Saccharomyces cerevisiae S288C: one gene and its partners. The gene in region 3 interacts genetically with the main gene of each other region. Each region holds a gene or a part of one and is shown on either strand. Other genes may lie near its edges.

What was found. Genes that interact genetically often act in the same process or in processes that back each other up.
Region 1: mutations in FIT2 (region 3) and YBL029W together harm fitness more than expected from each alone (negative genetic interaction), as found in Saccharomyces cerevisiae (one large-scale study listed by BioGRID).
Region 2: mutations in FIT2 (region 3) and APA1 together harm fitness more than expected from each alone (negative genetic interaction), as found in Saccharomyces cerevisiae (one large-scale study listed by BioGRID).

Annotation. Positions count from the first base shown.
Region 1 is NC_001134.8:164,479-167,789, forward strand, and holds YBL029W (uncharacterized protein), read left to right. Parts: upstream 1-1,655; coding exon 1,656-2,786; downstream 2,787-3,311. Other genes in the region: YBL029C-A (uncharacterized protein), read right to left, coding at 10-294; YBL028C (uncharacterized protein), read right to left, coding at 3,040-3,311.
Region 2 is NC_001135.5:37,311-40,794, reverse strand, and holds APA1 (bifunctional AP-4-A phosphorylase/ADP sulfurylase), read left to right. Parts: upstream 1-1,993; coding exon 1,994-2,959; downstream 2,960-3,484. Other genes in the region: YCL049C (uncharacterized protein), read left to right, coding at 71-1,009; LRE1 (Lre1p), read right to left, coding at 3,179-3,484. UniProt on the Saccharomyces cerevisiae protein: Ap4A phosphorylase catalyzes the phosphorolytic degradation of bis(5'-adenosyl) tetraphosphate (Ap4A) into ADP and ATP. Can also use other Np4N' nucleotides (where N and N' stand for A,C,G or U) as substrates with equal efficiency.
Region 3 is NC_001147.6:1,057,688-1,060,506, forward strand, and holds FIT2 (Fit2p), read left to right. Parts: upstream 1-1,843; coding exon 1,844-2,305; downstream 2,306-2,819. Other genes in the region: YOR381W-A (uncharacterized protein), read left to right, coding at 736-903; FIT3 (Fit3p), read right to left, coding at 2,754-2,819. UniProt on the Saccharomyces cerevisiae protein: Involved in the uptake of non-siderophore and siderophore sources of iron. Has a role in the retention of iron in the cell wall and periplasmic space.

The DNA of each region.
Region 1 (3,311 bases), on a different chromosome or scaffold from region 3:
ATTTCGTTATCAGTTGGGCTGCTTTTGTCGTAAGTTTTGTTGTTCTTGAATGACTTTATTAAGCTGTTCGTCATTCTTAAAATCTTGTCGCCAATTGCATATGGGGCAGTGCAACTGTTTTCCCCAGAAGACCGGAACCAACGGTATAAACCAAATAGTGAAAAATTCCTTTCTTTTTATGGGGCCGACACTATAATTGTGACAATTCGGGCAATACAGGTTTTGATGTCCGGGAACGGTATCGTATGAAGAGTCGAAACTCTTCATACCACATACAATAGGTATGAATGACATGGTAATTTTTTCTTTTTGAGGTTGTGTATTAAGTTGCTTATCTGATTTCACTTTACACCAATCTTCCTTGCTGACATTTATTCCCAACTTGTTCTTCAGCCGCTTGTTTTATAACGTACATTATTGTAAAAACGGAGTAGAAAGGGAAAAAGGGAAAGGGATGGACGTGGCTAATGCGCATCTTCGTTTGTGTGTATATCCTTTGATCTTCACTACATAATTTGTTACCCGACAATGCTTTTTTTTTTTTCTCAATTTTCATCTCTTTTCTTTTTCCTCATTTCTTATGAAAATCAGTGTGACTAAAATGAGACTTCGTATTTTTTGTAGAGGCACCATACGCCGGCTCCGCCGTCACCACATTCTCCCCTGCCGGTAAAGACCGGCGCACGCGGAAAAGGCGTACATAGCGTCGGGCGGTAACGGAGTCATTCCATCGCTGATAATTACCCCTTGCAGCAAACCCAGAGCCCTATTACGAATCTAGCCCATACACCGCGTTAGAGCACTCGCCGTTTTGCTCCGGGTCGTGCCGTCGTACATGCATACGCGTCCTGCAGGCATACCATAAGCCCACATACAATCACCTGTAGAAAGAAACAAAGCTTGTGTATGTAATCAAAGCAGAAATCTGATGGGTTCGAACGACTTCGTTATAGAAATATTATCTTTGGGTCTCGTCCTGCGTTATTCCTCCTGTCTCCTGCCGCTTTGATAACCTTTTCATTCCTCCCCTTAACTTGTTATTTCGTGTTACGATATTGGGTAACTTAGTAGCGTAAATGGTAAAATGTAGGGACTCAATCTCATAGGTGGTTATGTTTTTCGTTCTCATTTTTCAAATCTGTGACTTCACAGACAAAACGCGTAGTGATTTCTTTATCTGAATGAGCCTTCGAAAAAAAAAACAACGATTTCTTATGCAGTTAGTCGGCCAGTTGGTTATTGACTATCTGTGCGATTCCCCTTCCTGCATAAAAATAAACACAATCTTAATACGCCATACGTTGACTCCATTTTTTGCTCGTTTCATTATATTATCTTCCCATGCCGCTCCTGCGTGGGATTCCCTTTATTATAACTTTTAAGGTTTCTACCCACATATATGCAATTTTTATCATGTTTTTCTCTTTTTTTTTTTTTTTTTTTTTTTTCTCTCTTTGTTGTGTTTTCGAGAAAAAGTTCAATTGTTTAAAAGGAATTAAGCAAATTATATATATGCGACTGTTGGTTTCCAGTTCTAATCTGTACTCTTTTTTTTGAATTTGCACTGTTATCTCCTTTTATACTTGCGTGTTAATCTTGTATTAGGCAAAAGCTTAGTCGTAATATATAGAGATTATAAAACCAAAATAAAGCTAATGTGCGCCAATATCCCCGAATTCGACTCTTTTTACGAAAATGAAAATATAAATTACAACTTGGAATCATTCGCACCTTTAAATTGTGATGTTAATTCGCCCTTTCTCCCCATTAATAACAATGACATCAACGTTAATGCTTATGGTGACGAAAATTTAACGTACTCCAACTTTTTACTGTCTTATAACGATAAGCTGGCTACTACAACTGCTAAAAACAATAGCATTAATAATAGTAATAGTAATAATAATAGTAATAATAATAAAAATAATAATAATAATCATAATAATAATAATCTACTCGGTAATGACATCAGTCAGATGGCCTTTTTACTCGATTACCCTTCTACTCTCAACGAACCGCAATTTGCCGTAAATTGTAAAGACATTTACAGAAAGGATATATCAACGCCTTCGTCATTAGTTTCGAGTCTGCCACCTGCAAAGTTTTCGTTATCCCTATCGAATTCGCCTTCTCCGCCACCACCATCGTCGTCCTCTTTGAAACATGGGGAAGCAATAATTTCTAATACCAGCGAAAGCAGTGACATATTTGCCGATCCTAATTCGTTTGAAAAGGATACTATGCCCCTAACGCAAGAACTGACGCTAGAAAATCTAAATAATCAATTAAACTATCCCGATTTCACGATAAACGCCATCGAGCAGGATCCTGCCCCTTCGTCTTTTTCATCCTCATCTTCGTCTTCGGAGTCAACGGTCTCTTCCAGCAGGAAGAGGAAGCCCTGTCATGATTCCTACACACATTCTTCACCCTCTTCCTCAGAGTCTAAGAAAATTTCCGACTCGAGATTATCCGCCGAAGGTTTAGCCAAAGTGCTTAATTTAGAATCCCCCGAAGAAGCTTTAAAAAGAGAACGCTTTATATTGGGTATTTTCCAGAATGAATTAAATTACCCGCTAGGTTACAAAACGTGGATTAGGGATACTACAAAAGAATATAGGACAAAGTTAATCAATCAACTGCACGAACGAGTAAAGGTAAAGTACCCCGAATACAACCAGTCCATACTGGAAACAATAATTAGACGAGGCACCTACTACATGATGCAGAGTAGGTTAAGAAGAGAGAGGAGAATGAAGCTTAAGGAACGTAAAAGAACAACCTAATTTTATTACCCAAAAAAAAAAATGCATTATATATTTCATCCATATATAGAACACACTTACTCACATAAAAGACAAATATATAAAAGTGAACCGGTTTTCATATCATCACCCTCTGTTGTCCTTTCAACTCTTAAATTGTCTAGGAAGAGATAAAGCACGGTGAAGAATAAAAATAACGTCGGAATTTTAGTATGGTACATAATTAAAAATTTTACAACCTAGCTCCTATCAAGTTCTTATTACCTTCATTTTATCAGAATCTGGTGAAAGAAGTTTTTTTCTTAGATTGTTTCATCAGCTTAGCCTTTTTATAAGTGTGATGTCTACCGTCTCTCCAACCAGAGGTGCTGATTTTTTTTCTGGGAGCTTCTTCATTGGATTTTTTCTCGTCGACATCCATGTCAATTCCTTGCTCTTCTTTCTTTTTTAGATCTTCTAATTTTTGCTTTAGTAAGTCTTCCTTTAGTTTATCGGATATTCTTTGTTCACGTGCATCTACTGCTTTTTGGAAAACGCCACGTCTTT
Region 2 (3,484 bases), on a different chromosome or scaffold from region 3:
GTCCCAATAGGAACCAAGCTATTGCAATTCCAGGGTTCAAGAGAGAAAAATCTGTAATCACTTCGAACCAATGTTTAGTAAATACCTCGTAACTGCATCTTCCCTCTTTGTGGCTTTGACCTCTGCAGCATCTACCGTTGATCTAGATGCTCTGCTTCTTCTACCAGGGGTCGAGTCCCACGACGGCGTTGATACTGTATTTTCGACCAAAGACTTTTATCAAGTGTCATTCGTCAAATCCATTGCTCCTGCTATCGTAAACAGCTCCGTAATCTTCCACGATGTTTCTCGTGGTGTGGCTATGGGCAATGTCAAGAGCAGAGCAAGTATCTTCAACCCAGAGGAAACGTATTACGATTGGGAACAGTACCAAGTAGTAAATAACGGAGACTGGCGAACCGAATGGGCACCTGCCTCTGACTGCATTTGGAGGGAGGAGAAGGATAACAGCGACGAAACACCGGACAGATTCCCCATCTCGGTGCCATATAATTGGACGTCACAGTACTCAATTGTAGATTATGACACAGACGCTAACGAAGACAATTTAGATTTCAGGTTTATTAAATCATTGCTAGATAAGAAAAATTGGTTGAAAAAAATTAACCAGACTGTTTCCCAATCCAGTATTATGGTAGCACCAATGATTAGGCCATACAATGTGGTCCAGCTTTGGTATTCAAAAGATATGGTTTGGGCAAACGTCCAAAGACAATATTGTAGCGGTGTTTATCCAGGAGGGACTCAATGTAGCGCTTGGTCCAGGTACTACCATGTTGATGCACCCACCTGCGATGAGCCTGTCGCCTCTTACATGACCAAAATGTTGGAAAATGAGGTTCAGTGTCCCAATGAGAGAAACGCAACTACCCTAGAGCCTCTCCGCCTGAATAAGCAGGGAGACTCTGATTTTTCTTTGACTTTCGAGGAAGAGGAAGAGGAAGAGACAGGATCTAAATCTCTTTGGAGTACATTGAAAAAAATTTTCTCTAAAAGAAGTATAAGTTGATCTTAGTTGGTAGCACTTTGATGAGGTCTCTAGCAAAAAGTCTACAAACAAATTCTTGAAAGTGTTTGATTGTATATCGATATATCAGAAACATACATATGATTTTTATCTTGTGAATATTCATCAAACTCCGTTTTTAGCCCCCGTGTAAGTTACTTTAATGAGTATTTGATCCTTTTTTTTATTGTGTTGGTTTTTATATGTTTTGTTATGTATTGTTTATTTTCCCTTTAATTTTAGGATATGAAAACAAGAATTTATCAAAGAAAAAAATCTTAGCTTTAAGAACTACAAAGTAAATAAAAAATAATAAATCACACCGGACAGTACATGAAACTGGACATATTTGAGGAATTTCTTTTGAAGAGTTGAGCATTCAAACTGGCCGGTCTTGCTGTGGCCTCAATCCACTTGAGCTCCAAAGAAGGCTCTGAAATGCTTATTTTTTTCAAGCGATACAAAGTAAACAGTTACATACCTGAATGATACTACCACAACTATTTACATTATCGTCCTGTCAAAAGGCGAATAATCAGAACTGTTTGTTAACATGTCATTTTATAAGAGCGGCCTGAAATACTGTCATAAGTGGTCTGTCGAAAGTAGTTATTACGGCGTCGGGCGTCGCGAATAGCTCAAAAGTCACCCCAGCTTACACGATATTCCCATAACCTACAGCAAGAAGCTATTCTTGGATACAAGCACCAGTTACAAGCACTGCATTCATATATTGCCTTTTACTTTCCTATTCTGTATTTGTGTGCTAAGTGTCCTGTTTCGGAACGTTCTAGAAGATTTTCTTATTTTTCTCTTTTTCAGTTTTTTTTTCATCACGCAAAGGAAATACAATACAAGGTTAAAATGAAGGAACTAACATTACTATTATTTCCAATTTAAAGTTTACCTTAAAAGACAATAGATTGATCTTGAAAGCCAGTTTAGATAGATTTTAGAACAAACAGAAAAGTAAAAATTAAAATAAAAATGAGTATCCCCGCTGACATTGCATCTTTAATTAGTGACAAGTACAAAAGTGCCTTCGATAATGGTAACTTAAAATTTATCCAGACTGAAACAACGAAAACAAAGGACCCAAAAACCAGCATGCCATACTTGATTAGTCACATGCCAAGTCTGATCGAAAAGCCAGAGCGTGGCCAAACTCCAGAAGGAGAGGATCCACTAGGCAAACCTGAGGAAGAATTAACGGTTATCCCAGAATTTGGTGGTGCCGATAACAAAGCGTATAAATTGCTATTAAACAAATTCCCTGTAATCCCTGAACACACTTTATTGGTAACTAACGAATACCAACATCAAACTGATGCCTTGACCCCAACCGATTTATTGACTGCTTATAAGTTGCTGTGTGCCTTGGACAATGAAGAATCCGACAAGAGACACATGGTCTTTTACAATTCTGGTCCAGCCAGTGGTTCTTCATTGGACCACAAACATTTGCAAATTCTGCAAATGCCTGAAAAGTTCGTCACTTTCCAAGATAGACTATGTAATGGTAAAGAACATTTCCTACCAACTTTCAATACTGAACCTTTGCAAGATGCTAAAGTCTCGTTCGCTCATTTTGTCTTGCCAATGCCGGAGTCTGAAGAAACTGTTGATGAAGACCTATTAGCTATGTGTTACATCTCCATATTGCAAAGAGCTTTGACCTTTTTCCAGGACTGGTTGAACGAAAATCCAGAACTAAAGAAATCCTACAATCTTATGTTAACCAAGGAATGGATCTGTGTCGTTCCACGCTCGAAGGCCTTTTCTGATGAAATGAAGATAGGTTTCAACTCCACAGGTTATTGTGGTATGATCTTAACCAAAAATGATGAAGTTTTCTCCAAGATTACTGAAAAACCTGAATTGATTAACGATATCTTATTGGAATGTGGTTTCCCAAACACTTCTGGTCAAAAACCAAACGAATACAACTATTGAGTCCTTCACAAGTACAAGTATACACGTATACATGTATGTATATATATGTATTTAAATGATAGAAGTAATTTCTATATGTATATGTCTATTCAATTTTTATTTCTGATGACTTTGAAATTTTATATTTATTATTCTACACTTTATTATTAAAACTACATGCAATCAATGCCGTTAAGGTTACGATTCACCTTTTTATTACTTATTATTAATATTGTTGTATTACTTCCTTGAAAAAATATGTCTAAAGAGTCCTAATTTGGATTTTCTTTTCCTCCTAACTTCACTGTCCTGCGCCTGCTTTCCTAACGCATCATCGCTAATACACCAGCTTTCATTGCTTGTTGCTGCGCTGTTGCTCGCATGGAACGTTTTCAGTGCGTCATCATCCTGGGATAAACTAAAGACTAAGTCACCAGTTTCATTTGAGGCTTTTCTCTGCGCGTTGACAAAAGAGGACAGATCAACCATATCACCTGGTTCACCCATGAGAATGTCCTTACTTAGTTGCGAATTGGTTCTGATCTG
Region 3 (2,819 bases):
CCTTATTTATTTCCTCACTATTTTACCTATCACAAGTATATATTTAATTGTTTTGACCTGAAACATAATTTATGTCTAGCTGCAATGAAGACAATTGATCGACTTTCACAAACTTTTTCAATCTACTAATCTTTGGAAGCATTTTTTAACTGTCTCCCACTCTTGTTCCATGACTTAAATTTCTCTTCCTCCAAATTAACTGAATTTTTTTTCTGGATTGATGTTCTTTCCAATTGTTGTGGTAATCCACAGCTGGTATAACATAAAAAGAAGTTTTTTGTAAAAAAAAAAAATTTCTCAGTAAGCATATAAGCCTCAGTGAAATAAAATTTTAACAACTACACGCTATTCTATTCCATTTGCCCTGCTTTTCTCGCTTCGTTATCACCTAACCACTAAGAACATACTAATAATACAAAATTTTTATCCACTTTTTACCAACAGATTTTCATGAAATATCCATCTTCTTTCCGAATTCTGTATAAAATGAAAGAGAGATTTTTTGCTCTCAATCCAGGCTCAAGGCTCTTGAGAACAGGTAATTGTTGTTTAGCACGTTTTCAACACATTTATCAGAAAACGACAGTTAAAAATAAGACGAGCGGCGTTATCATCCTGATAGTCACTAAATGAAAAGCAGGTACTTTTGAAGAGCACATGTAATATTTGCTCAACTGATAATACCTTCATTTTATACACACTTCTAATTTTTTTTTTAAAATCAGATACGCATTGATGTTCAATGTAGCATTACCATCACAAGACAAAAAATCAGAATTTTACAAGCAAAAGCGCTTATCTTTAAGGACCAACATATTAGATGAATTCTTAAGGGTTGCCAAAACGCAAGACAACAGGCAAAATAATTTCGTTTCTCAGTACCGAAATGACGAAATATACTGAGGCAAATGCGATCATCATGCCTTTGCGCCAAGAAACTCCCTTGTGAAGAACTTCAAACCGAAATGGGAAAACTTTGAGTTATTGACAGGGAATACGGAGGGGAAGATCACACTTAAATCCGTATGAGCCGCGCACATAATGGTATTCAAATACACAAGAACATTCATGAGCTATTTTTCATCCGTGCAAACGAATTTACTACAATTGGACCAGAGGGCACCATAACTGGAGACTTTGCTACTGACTCAACGTTGATGATGCGAGTAGTGGGTGTACTGTGATTTGCTCATTTTTTTTTTTATAGAAAGATTCGATTAATGAAAGTCACAGGAGACATTTTTACATAGACATTCCGTATATGTTGCGGGTATCGCGGATGCGGATTAGTGATGCCTTTAACTACATTTCATAGATTTCTGTATACCAATTGAAATGAGTGAAGTAAGCTCCTACAGTGAAATATCTGGGTGCTACTGACGCCAAGCCCTACAGCGATCGGAATGCGGGAACGGAAGTTAACGGGGCTTCCAGAACGGCGGAAGCGAATTGAACGAGGACGGCAAACAAAAACACCCAAAATTTCATTACTTAGAATGACCCTCAAGAGCAGGGTGCAATTTATCAAGCGATCATTGAACTAACTAAGTTCATATCCTGTATAGGATTTAAAACAATGCACCCTAAGTTCAAATGCACCCCCCCTCGCCCCGCAGCGGACCCTTGAACAGAGAACTGTTTCGAGGTTCACCCAATTGGATCACTTGTATAATTTGTAATCGAGTTCGGATAAGATGTATACGAATCTAACTGGGTGCAGTATAATTAGCATTTTATATTACCTAGCAATATATGTATAAAACAGGAATGTGTGCGTGCTTCAGGCAGAATTTTACGGTCCTTGTAAAAAAGTCTATCATAAAGCCATCACAAAACAATAATAATGAAATTCTCAACTATTTTCGGAGCTACTACAGTTATGACTGCCGTCTCGGCAGCAGCTGTGTCGAGTGTAATGACCACTAAGACTATTACTGCTACTAACGGTAATAACGTTTACACTAAGGTCGTTACCGACACCGCTGACCCTATCATTAGTTACAGTACCACTAGAACTGTCGTTGTCAGTAATAGTGATGCTACTTACACAAAGGTTGTCACCGAAGGACCAGATACCACCTCTGAAAAGAGTACAACAAAGACACTTACTTTGACAAACGGTTCAGGTTCATCAACCAACCTTTACACCAAGACCGTCACTCAAGCCGTCGAATCATCTACATCCTCCTCATCCTCCTCATCCTCCTCCTCCTCTTCTGCCTCTTCTTCTGGTGCTGCTCCTGCTGCATTCCAAGGAGCAAGTGTCGGTGCATTGGCCCTTGGTTTGATTTCTTACCTATTATAAGCTCGGTTTCAAACCAGAAAAAAGCTATTAGTTATCGTGTATAGCATATTTATAACTTATCTATGAAAAGCTAATATAATTGTCTTTCTCCTTCAAAAGGCTAGTAAAAAGGACTTTTTTTCATTACGTTTCTCAGTGACTTCAATGTAGCAGTTTTTCGTTTCATCATCATCATCGTATTATTATTATTGTTATTATTATTATTATCATTACTTTTATTAATATTAACTATTTTTTTAGTATGATTTCGGGTATATTTATTTTAATTAGATACTTTTAACCGTTTCAAACAATTAAAGGAAGACCAACGAACTTGAAACAGTATATATACATACATACTTAATGTGTGTTATTAAAATTTTTTTATTCTAACATAACTTCGAAAAAAGGCCAAGCCGCAAGGTGCTTCATAAAAATCGGATATCCCGCATGATTATTCACATATCATTTACAATAACATGACGGCAGCAAGGGCAGCACCCATCAAACCAGTACCAGCGGTGATGGCATCAGC